Linked DNA regions of Saccharomyces cerevisiae S288C. The protein of the gene in region 3 interacts with the protein of the main gene of each other region in a biochemical or structural test. Each region holds a gene or a part of one and is shown on either strand. Other genes may lie near its edges.

What was found. The genes of interacting proteins can lie anywhere in the genome.
Region 1: the proteins of SIS1 (region 3) and MSP1 form a complex in vitro, tested with the Saccharomyces cerevisiae proteins (one study listed by BioGRID).
Region 2: the proteins of SIS1 (region 3) and SUP35 are reported together in a solved structure, tested with the Saccharomyces cerevisiae proteins (2 studies listed by BioGRID, with this or other methods).

Annotation. Positions count from the first base shown.
Region 1 is NC_001139.9:540,488-544,205, forward strand, and holds MSP1 (protein-degrading AAA family ATPase MSP1), read left to right. Parts: upstream 1-1,715; coding exon 1,716-2,804; downstream 2,805-3,718. Other genes in the region: ERV1 (flavin-linked sulfhydryl oxidase), read left to right, coding at 3,066-3,151, 3,235-3,718.
Region 2 is NC_001136.10:806,639-811,295, reverse strand, and holds SUP35 (translation termination factor GTPase eRF3), read right to left. Parts: upstream 2,973-4,657; coding exon 915-2,972; downstream 1-914. Other genes in the region: ARG82 (inositol polyphosphate multikinase), read left to right, coding at 1-731; heat shock protein HSP42, read right to left, coding at 3,548-4,657. UniProt on the Saccharomyces cerevisiae protein: GTPase component of the eRF1-eRF3-GTP ternary complex, a ternary complex that mediates translation termination in response to the termination codons UAA, UAG and UGA.
Region 3 is NC_001146.8:618,007-622,054, reverse strand, and holds SIS1 (type II HSP40 co-chaperone SIS1), read left to right. Parts: upstream 1-2,489; coding exon 2,490-3,548; downstream 3,549-4,048. Other genes in the region: mitochondrial 54S ribosomal protein bL27m MRP7, read left to right, coding at 1-742; TOR complex subunit LST8, read right to left, coding at 1,077-1,988; putative ubiquitin-protein ligase ASI3, read left to right, coding at 3,814-4,048. UniProt on the Saccharomyces cerevisiae protein: Required for nuclear migration during mitosis. It is required for the normal initiation of translation. Might mediate the dissociation of a specific protein complex of the translation machinery. Essential for viability.

The DNA.
Region 1 (3,718 bases), on a different chromosome or scaffold from region 3:
AGGTAAATACATGAAATTGGGTATGGAAAACTCATTAACTGAAAAAATACCCAAACTAAACGTACCTTTGAACCCAAAAGGAAGGAAACTTAGCGCTCCAGGTCAACCAGGTCTATATATAGACCAGCAAGAACTAGAGCTAGAAGAAGATGATTACAAAATGAAGGTACATGAAATGCAAAAGCTGATAGGTCTAGCATCATATGTTGGATATAAATTTAGATTTGACCTATTATACTACATCAACACACTTGCACAACATATACTATTTCCGTCCAAGCAAGTGTTAGATATGACATATGAATTGATACAGTTCATATGGAATACGAGAGATAAGCAATTAATATGGCACAAAAGCAAACCTGTTAAGCCAACAAATAAATTAGTTGTTATAAGCGATGCCTCGTATGGCAACCAACCGTATTATAAATCACAAATTGGCAACATATATTTACTTAATGGAAAGGTAATTGGAGGAAAGTCCACCAAGGCTTCATTAACATGTACTTCAACTACGGAAGCAGAAATACACGCGATAAGTGAATCTGTCCCATTATTAAATAATCTAAGTTACCTGATACAAGAACTTGACAAGAAACCAATTACCAAAGGATTACTAACCGACAGTAAATCTACAATCAGTATAATTATATCCAATAATGAAGAGAAATTTAGGAACAGATTTTTTGGTACTAAAGCAATGAGATTGAGAGATGAAGTATCAGGAAATCATCTGCACGTATGCTATATCGAAACCAAAAAGAATATTGCAGACGTAATGACCAAACCTCTTCCGATAAAAACATTCAAACTATTAACAAACAAATGGATTCATTAGATCTATTACATTATGGGTGGTATGTTGGAATAAAAATCCACTATCGTCTATCAACTAATAGTTATATTATCAATATATTATCATATACGGTGTTAAGATGATGACATAAGTTATGAGAAGCTGTCATCGAAGTTAGAGGAAGCTGAAACGCAAGGATTGATAATGTAATAGGATCAATGAATATAAACATATAAAACGGAATGAGGAATAATCGTAATATTAGTATGTAGAAATATAGATTCCATTTTGAGGATTCCTATATCCTCGAGGAGAACTTCTAGTATATTCTGTATACCTAATATTATAGCCTTTATCAACAATGGAATCCCAACAATTATCTCAACATTCACATATTTCTCATTCTCAATCTTCATGGTATCTTTTTTACACCGTATATGATAAAATACAAGTAATATAAATACCAGCCACTGGATGACATTGAAATTTTATTCTAATAAATGCATCAGCTCTTTAAAAACATTGCTATTTAGCTATTTGAAGCCAGAAATTTTCACAGATTACCATCCGATATAGTGTAACGGCTATCACATCACGCTTTCACCGTGGAGACCGGGGTTCGACTCCCCGTATCGGAGTGTTCTTTTTCTTACCTCTTGAAAAAGAGGTAGTAAAGTCAATATAAATTCTTGGCTGAAGTATTTCAATACAATTGGTCAAGGAAGTTATTATTTTTTTAATGACTTATATCTGTCCAACACAACAGGTTACACCATATAATCTCTATTTACTGGACAGGCGGAAATCGATAGTTTAGCTTTCCTAAAAATCGTTATATTATAGAAGCGTCTTGACACGTTTTCAAAAAAGGAAGAAGCAAGAACGAAAAGAGATAAGGATTCAAAAGAAAGGAAGCCCAATGTCTCGCAAATTTGATTTAAAAACGATTACTGATCTTTCCGTCCTAGTTGGGACTGGCATATCATTATACTACCTGGTCAGTCGGCTACTCAACGATGTTGAATCAGGACCGTTATCAGGTAAATCAAGGGAATCAAAGGCCAAACAGTCCTTGCAATGGGAAAAGCTGGTGAAAAGATCACCGGCATTGGCAGAAGTAACATTAGATGCATATGAAAGGACTATATTATCTTCTATCGTTACGCCAGATGAAATAAATATTACATTCCAGGATATTGGTGGCTTAGACCCGCTTATTTCAGATCTACATGAAAGTGTCATATATCCCTTGATGATGCCAGAAGTATATTCTAATAGCCCTTTACTTCAAGCACCTAGCGGTGTCTTGCTATATGGGCCACCAGGATGTGGTAAAACCATGTTGGCGAAGGCCCTAGCCAAGGAAAGTGGTGCTAATTTTATCTCAATAAGAATGTCATCTATAATGGATAAATGGTATGGTGAATCTAACAAAATAGTCGATGCAATGTTTTCATTGGCGAACAAGTTACAACCTTGTATAATATTCATTGACGAAATTGATTCATTCCTTAGAGAACGGTCTTCTACAGATCATGAAGTTACGGCAACCTTAAAAGCTGAATTCATGACTTTATGGGATGGCTTATTGAATAATGGAAGGGTTATGATTATCGGTGCTACTAATCGGATAAATGACATAGATGATGCGTTTTTGAGGAGGTTACCAAAAAGGTTTCTTGTTTCATTGCCTGGTTCTGATCAACGTTACAAAATATTAAGTGTTTTATTAAAAGACACTAAACTAGACGAAGACGAATTCGACTTGCAACTGATTGCAGACAATACCAAAGGATTTTCTGGGTCGGACCTGAAAGAGCTTTGCAGAGAAGCGGCCTTAGATGCAGCAAAGGAATACATAAAACAGAAGAGGCAGCTCATTGATAGTGGTACAATCGATGTTAATGATACTTCTTCCTTGAAGATAAGACCATTAAAGACAAAAGATTTTACAAAAAAATTAAGAATGGATGCTACAAGTACGTTGTCATCTCAACCTCTTGATTAAGGAAGGAAAATTAGAAAAAAAAGAAGAAAGCTTTTTATTCACGCATCATATCATATCAGATAAGCTAGTTTTCACATAATATGTGTATATGCAGTATACTCCTGTACATAACTTCCTTTATTTCTGCTTTATAATTATATACTAGTTATTTTTCTTGGGCCGCTTTTATTACGGCAACTATTCTATCAGGTTTAGTCATAATCTAAATCTAAAGATGGGGAAAAGCCAAAAACACTCAACTTTCAATGAATACAAAGCTTCATGAAAGCAATAGATAAAATGACGGATAATCCACCACAAGAAGGCTTAAGTGGGAGGAAAATAATATATGACGAAGATGGCAAACCGTATGTTGGATTACGCAAAGCAATTCAGGATCTACTGATCCAATCAAGCTTGTGATTTTTTATTAACAAATTCTCTATAATAGTTGCCGATCATGTAACACCCTACTTGACTTTCAGTACGTGACCGGGAAGATATCTAATGGCCTGAAGAACCTCTCATCTAACGGTAAACTAGCAGGTACGGGGGCTCTCACTGGCGAAGCTTCAGAGTTGATGCCTGGCTCAAGAACATACAGGAAGGTTGACCCTCCTGACGTAGAGCAACTAGGTAGATCTTCATGGACGCTGTTACACTCTGTAGCTGCCAGCTATCCTGCTCAACCTACAGACCAACAGAAGGGTGAAATGAAACAGTTCTTGAATATCTTCTCACATATTTATCCTTGCAACTGGTGTGCTAAAGACTTTGAAAAATATATCAGAGAAAATGCACCACAAGTTGAGTCAAGAGAAGAACTTGGGAGGTGGATGTGTGAAGCCCACAATAAAGTCAATAAGAAATTGAGGAAGCCCAAATTTGACTGTAATTTCTGGGAAAAAAGATGGAAGGACGGCTGGGACGAATAA
Region 2 (4,657 bases), on a different chromosome or scaffold from region 3:
AATACCTCGTTTTAGAAAATCTACTATATGGATTTAGTAAACCTAATATACTTGATATAAAATTAGGCAAAACTTTGTATGATTCGAAGGCATCATTGGAAAAAAGAGAGAGAATGAAAAGAGTCAGTGAGACGACGACTTCAGGATCTTTGGGTTTCAGGATATGTGGCATGAAAATACAGAAAAATCCCTCTGTGCTGAATCAGCTTTCGCTCGAATATTACGAAGAAGAAGCAGACAGTGATTATATCTTTATAAACAAATTGTATGGTCGTTCAAGAACCGATCAAAATGTTTCAGATGCAATTGAACTTTATTTTAACAATCCTCATCTGTCGGATGCGAGAAAGCATCAACTGAAGAAAACATTTTTGAAAAGATTGCAGTTGTTTTATAATACTATGCTAGAAGAAGAAGTTAGAATGATATCAAGTAGTCTTTTGTTTATTTACGAAGGAGACCCGGAGCGATGGGAATTACTAAATGATGTTGACAAACTTATGCGAGATGATTTTATAGACGATGATGACGACGATGATGATAATGATGATGATGATGATGATGATGCCGAGGGAAGCAGCGAAGGACCAAAGGACAAAAAAACAACTGGTTCTTTGAGTTCCATGTCACTAATAGATTTTGCACATTCTGAAATAACGCCGGGGAAGGGTTATGATGAAAACGTGATTGAAGGAGTTGAAACCTTGCTAGATATTTTTATGAAATTCTAGATATATTGAGAGGTGAAGTTTACCTTGTTTATGGTATATGGTACAAAAAGAACTAAACTAATTATACGTCTATATATATATATATATATATAACAGCTTTATTAAACCTTGTTTTTTAATATAGAAGAAAATGCTTTATGATCGGTATTATTGTGTTTGCATTTACTTATGTTTGCAAGAAATTTACTCGGCAATTTTAACAATTTTACCAATTGCTATTGTGGTACCTTGATCTCTCAAAGTGAATCTACCTAATTGAGGGTAATCTTGGTAAGTTTCCACACAAACTGGAGCTTCAGTTTCTAAAACAGCGATGACCTTCATACCCTTCTTAGCAAAAGCAGGTGGTTTCTTTGACTTACGGTTGGTACCCTTTTCTAATTTGTGCAATAACTTAACAATATGTACCTCTTCAATTGCTGTATGAACATGCATAACACATGAAAAACCGGCTGCTATGATAGATTTTAATTCTACAATAGCAATTTGAGCTACAAACTTGGTAACACTCTTGATAGGGTTCTTTGGCGATGTTAGTACAAAACCTGGTGAAATGTCTTCTTCTTCAACACCTTTGATTCTTAGTTTAACTTGCTCACCACACATAGCCATATCAACTTCATTTTCAGTTTCGTTGTAAATATTTTGAATTTCCACAGCGGTTTTGTTAGGCATCAGTAGGGTGGATTGACCCTTTTTGATATGACCGGATTCAATTTTACCTTCAACGATGGTACCTAGATCCTTCATCTTAGCGGCAATAGGCAACATGAATGGAGCATTGATGTGACGGTCGACGTGGTTCATTGTATCCAGATATTCTAACAGAGTTGGGCCGGTGTACCATGGGCATTCTTTTGGATCTACGTGATCTTTCAAATTTGCACCACTGTAGCCGGATACTGGCATAAATACAACGTCTGTCTTAATGTTGTAACCAATTGCTCTCAAGAAATTGCTGACATTACTCACACATTGGTCGTAACGTTCCTTAGACCAGTTAACGGTTGGGTCATCCATCTTATTTACGACGACAACCATCTTATTAACACCTTGGGTCTTGGCCAATAGGGCGTGTTCACGAGTTTGACCACCTCTCTCAAAACCGGTTTCGTACTCACCCTTTCTGGCGGAAATGACCAAAACACCAACATCAGCTTGAGAAGCACCACCGATCATCTCGGAAACGTACATTTTATGACCAGGAGCATCCAATATGGTATAACGCCTTTTTTCAGTTTCAAAGTAGGCCTTACCAACTTCGATAGTCTTACCATCATTTCTTTCTTCTTTGTTGGTATCCATGACCCATGACAAGTACCAACCTTGTCTGCCTGCATCCTTGGCTTCTCTTTCATATTTCTCAATAGTTCTCTTATCCACAGAGCCAGTCAAGTATAGTAGATTACCACCCATAGTAGATTTACCGGCATCAACATGACCCATGAAAATTAAAGAAACGTGATCTTTACCACCAAACATATCGTTAACAACTTCGTCATCCACTTCTTCTTCCTGTTCCTTGATCAAGGCATCAGCACTGGTAACATTGGCATTGTTGGTATTATGTGTTGATTCAGAGATTTTAAGGTCTTCTACCTTTGGAAGTTCCGATTTTTCCTCCGTCTTTTCTTCAGTCTGGACTGGTTTCTCCTCCTTTTTAACTGGTTCTTCGACCTTTGTTGGCTCTTTAGTTGGTTCTTTGGTTTCAGCAGACTTCTCTTCCTCTTTCTTATCAGATTCGGCAGGTTTTGTGCCAACCTTCTTGGTAGCATTGGCCAACTTGATACCGGAACTGGAGACAAGCTTCAAAGTCTTCTTTGGTTTGGGAGCGGCCTGCTTTTGTTGCTTTTGAAAGTCGTTCAAAGACATACCTTGAGACTGTGGTTGGAAACCAGCTTGATATCCTTGCAAATTGTTATTGTAGTTGAAGTTTTTGTAATTTCCACGGCCACCTTGTGGATTGAATTGCTGCTGATAACCGCCTTGAGGATTGTACTGTTGATAGCCTCCTTGAGGATTATACTGTTGCTGGTAACCGGCGTCGGGATTGTACTGTTGATAGCCACCTTGTTGGTACCCAGAATAACCTTGGTAATTTTGGTAGTACCCACCTGCAGGTTGGGCTTGAGCATTGTAAGCTTGATAACCTTGGTATCTGTTGTTACCTTGTTGTTGGTTACCGTTCTGGCTGTATTGCTGGTAGTTTTGCTGATTGTTGCCTTGGTTTGAATCCGACATTGTTGCTAGTGGGCAGATATAGATGTTATTCCGAGCAAGTCGATGAAGAAACCGCTTTTTGTTACAGTACAATGGAGTCTTTCAAGAGAAGATGTACCAATATACACTACACTCTTCAGAAGCAATGGGAGCTTTGGTCGAGTGAAAAAAAAATTTTCTCCATAAAGAAAGATCATATTATACGATGATGTAAGATATAATACCCGGTTGTAATGTACATTTAAGAGCAAGGTAAGAAGTGACAATAACTTCTGTATGATCTTAGCATGTACCTCTTTTGGTGGGCTGAGAACTAAGATTCATCTTTTTGCGGAAGAATTTTGCTATGAACTTCACAACTTTATGAAGTGGTTTAAGAGAATTACAAAAGAAATGACACAGACTCGAACACTGTGACGCGTCGTCTTAGTAAAAAATAATAATTTGAGTCAAATAGCGCAGCTAATGCGAAACAAAGAAATGAAGCATATACCATTCGTTGTATGATTTTTGTGTGGTTGACAGATATTCTGCCGAAATTTTAACGCTTATTATAAATATAAATGTATGTATGTGTGTATAAACAGATACGATATTCAATTTTCTACCGTAGGGTTGGGATTTTCTTCAAACTCCAATTCTTCGTCGGGTATTTCCTCAATGGCGATCCTCTTTTTTGGCTTCGGCTTTTCAGTGTCATTGACAATTTTAGGCACCTTAATTTGTAGTAGACCGTTGTTGTAAGTAGCTTTAATTTCTTCGTCCTTAATGCGTGGCAGCACGGGGAATTTAACGGTTCTCTCAAACGCACCATATTTTAGTTCCGTGATCTTCAAGAATTTTTCATCAATGCCCACTCTGTCTTCGATCTTACCCTTGATGAGCATCTCATGAGAAGATGGATGGTAATCAATGTGGAAAGCCCTAGAGTTAGCACCTGGTAACGCAAGAACAACTACGTAAGTGTCCTCGGTATCATAGACATTCACTTCTGGTGAAAATGGTAAGTCCATTCTCGTTTCAGGCTTGGATACTTGTAACGGGTCAGGTATTGGGGAAGGCGCTTGTAGGTGAGCGAACGATGAAGATTTTTTGGCTAATGGTGGTCTCGACGATTCCTCCAGCTGATTCAAAGGTTTTTCTTTGTTGGTTTCGCCAGCTTCCTCTTTGGGTGCTTCAGACTTATCCTTCTTATCCTTTTCTTCTCCCTTTTCGCCCTCCTGTTCGGTATTTGCTTCAATTTCTGGTTCAGTGCCTTCATATGGTGGAACACCTATTAACGCGGTTAATAAGTCGTTTAAACTGTTTGCCTGTTGGTTGGTCCTATTATTCCTGGCAGTATTACAATGGTAATATGATGGATATCTTCTCGAGTTGCTGTCCTCGCCACCATCTTCCTGTCTTGTAGTGCCGCTGTCACCCACCATATCTTCGTCTTGGTCCTCTTCTTCACCATCCTCGTCATCATAACCGTATTCAGGACTATAGTAATAGGCTTGTCCAGGGAACTGGTAGTAATAGGTATTAGGAACACCATTGTATCTGCTATACAATGGATGATGACGAGGATGATGCCCGCCAACGTGCACTTGTCCATAATGGGGATGGTATCTCTGTGGCCTTTGTGGTTGGCGAGGATATCCTTGCTGCCCTCTCTGGCCAGTTTGGTTGGATAATGCGTTCAAAACGTCATAAAGAGATAGGGA
Region 3 (4,048 bases):
CGTAAGGAGGTTTGGCCGTTTTGAGTTAACAAATAAAAGGGCAGCATATAAGGAAGAAAATTCTATTTCTAGAAAAGACTATCTCGCAAAACCTAATATTTTGAAGCAGTTAGAGGTCAGGGAATCTAAAAGAAAGGAGTTACAAGACAAGTTGAGTAAGGTTCTTCGGGATGAACTTAAGTTAGATATAAAAGACATCGAATTGGCAACGTCATACTTAATTCGTGTAAGGGCTTCCCTGAAGAATGGATACCCCATAGAAGATGCAAGGTTCAATAGTAGATATTATTTAAAAGAAGAAGAGCGTTTGAAGGCAAGGAGAGAAAGCTGGACGAATGAGAAATTGTCGGAGAGTCTATCCAAGATTGATGAGTGTAGTGATCTTTTGAACTCATCTACATCTTTCAATAACAAGCTAGAGCTACACCAGTATATTTCGGAACAAGAAAAACAAGCTTTGAAGGCAAAACTATTAGAGGACCTAGAAAAATCCCAACACTTAGAAACCAAAAAAGACAAGAATTATATTAAGGCGCTTTTCAAGGACGCTTGTAATTTTTTGACTTTATCTGAAGAAGTACATTTGCGTAGGAAATACTTAAAGTCGGTCTTCCCCGAAACAGATAGTACGGTTGAAACCAAAAGCGGGAAGAAGTCAATTGTGTCTAGACGTTTTGATTACACCAAAAATAAAGTTGAAGTCATTGCTAGAAGTAGGCGGGCTTTTTTGAGCAAGCTTTGATTTTCTTTCCTTACGCACAGTATGTACACATATAAAATGTTTAAGAATGCCTGTAAATATTACTATTTTGTCGCGCAAGTAGCTAAACCTTTCGTCTACACGAAACTTAAAATTTAGTGCTACATGCAAGGGAATATGTTTATACTGTACATTCTCGTCTTCCTTTCATTGATGATATGCATCGCGATTGCTTTCATTTTGTGAACAATCAATTAACTAAAATGCACAGGATAGTAAAATCTATATTTACAAAAAGGCGGATAAGCAAACACTGAAAATCATAATGTTTTTTGTCACTTCGGTCCTTCAAGCTTGGTAGTTGATAAATTGTAAACTATACATCGTTTAATGCGACACATACAGCTCCCTTGTGGTGTCCACCGTACTGTCTGACAATTTCTCTAGTTGATAAATCCCATAATCTCACGTAATGATCGGACGATGCCGTTACTAGATACGCACTGTCAGCACTAAATGCGCAATCCCAAACCCACCTTTGGTGGCCATCCAATGTCGTTTCTAGCTTAAAATCATCATCAATCGACCACACACGAGCAGTGTGATCCGCTGAACATGTTGCCAAATGTTTTACATCAGATGATAGTAGAATTCTAGTTATATATGTGGAGTGCGCTCTGAATTTTGTTACCGGTTTTAGATGGGATGCGTCAGTATGATTTGGCATTTCCCATACGTAACAATTACCTTTAGTATTTGCTGCCGCTAACATCGAACCATCACTTGCCATAGATAAAGACTGGAGAGAGGTATCGTCCTCAGGTGTCAATTGATGGGTACACTGATTTTCTCCTAAGTCCCAAATTCTTATATTACCATCTCTATCACAAGATATCAACTCGCCTTGGTTAGGATGAATTACGACTTCATTTACTGGTGCGTTATGTTTGTAATTTCTAGGAATGGACGGAGAACGCACATCCCAAACTTTAATGGTCCCATCTTCGCTAGAGGTCACCATCCATCTGTTGTCCTGTTGAAAAGAAACGGAGGTAACGTTTCCCCGATGACCCTCAAAGGATGCTACTGGATTGGGATTTGTCGTCCGAATGTCATAAAGCCGTACGTTTTGATGGCCTGCTGTTGCCAACAACTTTTTATCGTTGGTGATTTCTAAGCGATTAACCTGTGAGTCGGAATGCTGAATTGTTCTTGAACAAACCCCAGTAAGAGCCTCCCAAAATCTTATTGTGTGGTCATAGCCAGCAGATACTAAGATAACAGACATCAATCAGAACTCCTTTTTTATATGGATGACAAGACTGCCACGTTGATCGCTGCGCTAATAATATATGGTTGTCGCACTCTTCTATAACATGATCAGTAATAGCTAGTCGTTACTTTTCTGAATCTTAACGTATTGTGTTACCCTCTTTGGTTTATATGAACGTTCCAGAAACTTCTGGAAAAAGAATGGGATATCCTTTTACGGGTTTTTCAACCACTGTCAGCACAAACTCCTTGCCAAGGTAGTTCGAGATTTAATATATATTGTATAGATTTCTCGTCCCTTTACCGTATTGTTAATCCCTTTTTAAACTTATGCGCTTTCTTGTCAAAAATTCTAATTAATATTATTTAAGCTCTTACACGAATTCTTTTAACGACTTAGAATTGTATAACCATCCAGAAACTCTTCAGAGGATAAAGGATAAGTTGTTTGCATTTTAAGATTTTTTTTTTAATACATTCACATCAATATAATAGAGTATAGTATACAGAACTAATAATGGTCAAGGAGACAAAACTTTATGATTTACTTGGAGTATCTCCAAGTGCTAATGAGCAAGAACTGAAAAAGGGTTATAGAAAAGCAGCTCTAAAATATCATCCAGATAAGCCAACAGGTGACACAGAAAAGTTTAAGGAGATATCAGAGGCCTTTGAAATTTTAAATGATCCTCAAAAAAGGGAAATATATGATCAATACGGTCTCGAGGCTGCTAGATCTGGTGGTCCAAGCTTTGGTCCTGGTGGTCCTGGCGGTGCTGGAGGTGCTGGAGGCTTCCCTGGCGGTGCGGGCGGATTCTCCGGAGGACATGCGTTCAGTAATGAGGATGCTTTCAATATTTTTTCACAATTCTTTGGCGGCAGTTCCCCATTCGGTGGTGCTGATGACAGTGGCTTCAGTTTCTCTAGTTATCCATCTGGCGGCGGTGCTGGTATGGGAGGTATGCCTGGAGGAATGGGAGGAATGCATGGCGGCATGGGAGGTATGCCTGGCGGCTTTAGATCAGCATCAAGCTCTCCCACGTATCCAGAGGAAGAAACAGTTCAAGTTAATTTACCAGTTAGTCTAGAAGATTTGTTTGTTGGTAAAAAGAAGTCATTTAAAATTGGAAGAAAGGGCCCACATGGGGCCTCTGAAAAGACACAAATTGACATTCAATTAAAACCGGGTTGGAAAGCTGGTACCAAAATAACATACAAGAACCAGGGTGATTACAATCCTCAAACGGGCCGTAGAAAGACTTTGCAGTTTGTCATCCAGGAAAAGAGCCATCCAAACTTTAAAAGAGACGGTGATGACCTAATTTACACTCTGCCACTATCTTTCAAGGAATCATTGTTAGGTTTTTCAAAAACTATCCAAACAATTGATGGCAGAACCTTACCTTTGTCGAGAGTACAGCCTGTCCAACCCTCACAAACTTCTACTTATCCTGGTCAAGGTATGCCAACTCCAAAGAACCCATCTCAGAGAGGTAATTTGATTGTAAAATATAAAGTGGACTATCCAATATCACTAAACGACGCTCAAAAACGTGCTATAGATGAAAATTTTTAATAGTAATCCTAAGCAAATATAATTATAAACTCAAATAAATTTATCACCACAGAAATCATATAATATACATCATTAATTTTGACTCAATAATCTTAAATTGCGCGGTGCGGTGCGCGGTAAATTAAAGTTTTTGTATGTCTGCATTACCCTGCCCTCTGGCATATAAATGATGTATGTAAGGAATGGTTGACTTGACAGAAGGTCACCGAGAGGCTACAATTTGTCAGGAACAGTCATTACGTAGGGATTTTCAAAAGTTTGACTGATGTCTACAAATATATTGCAACATGTTAAGCAATTGCTCCATAACAGAGATGTATTTAGCTTTTTTCACAACAAGACTGGAAATCTTAATTACCTAGATAACACAACTCAGAAACCGGAAGTTTTTGTAAGTCCAAATTCTACAATAGTTTCAGCCCCAACTTTGGACTCTTTTCAAGCATTGATGGAGAAAGGTAACTTCACCACTTTGCAACTAGCTAAGGTAGGAATTAGAA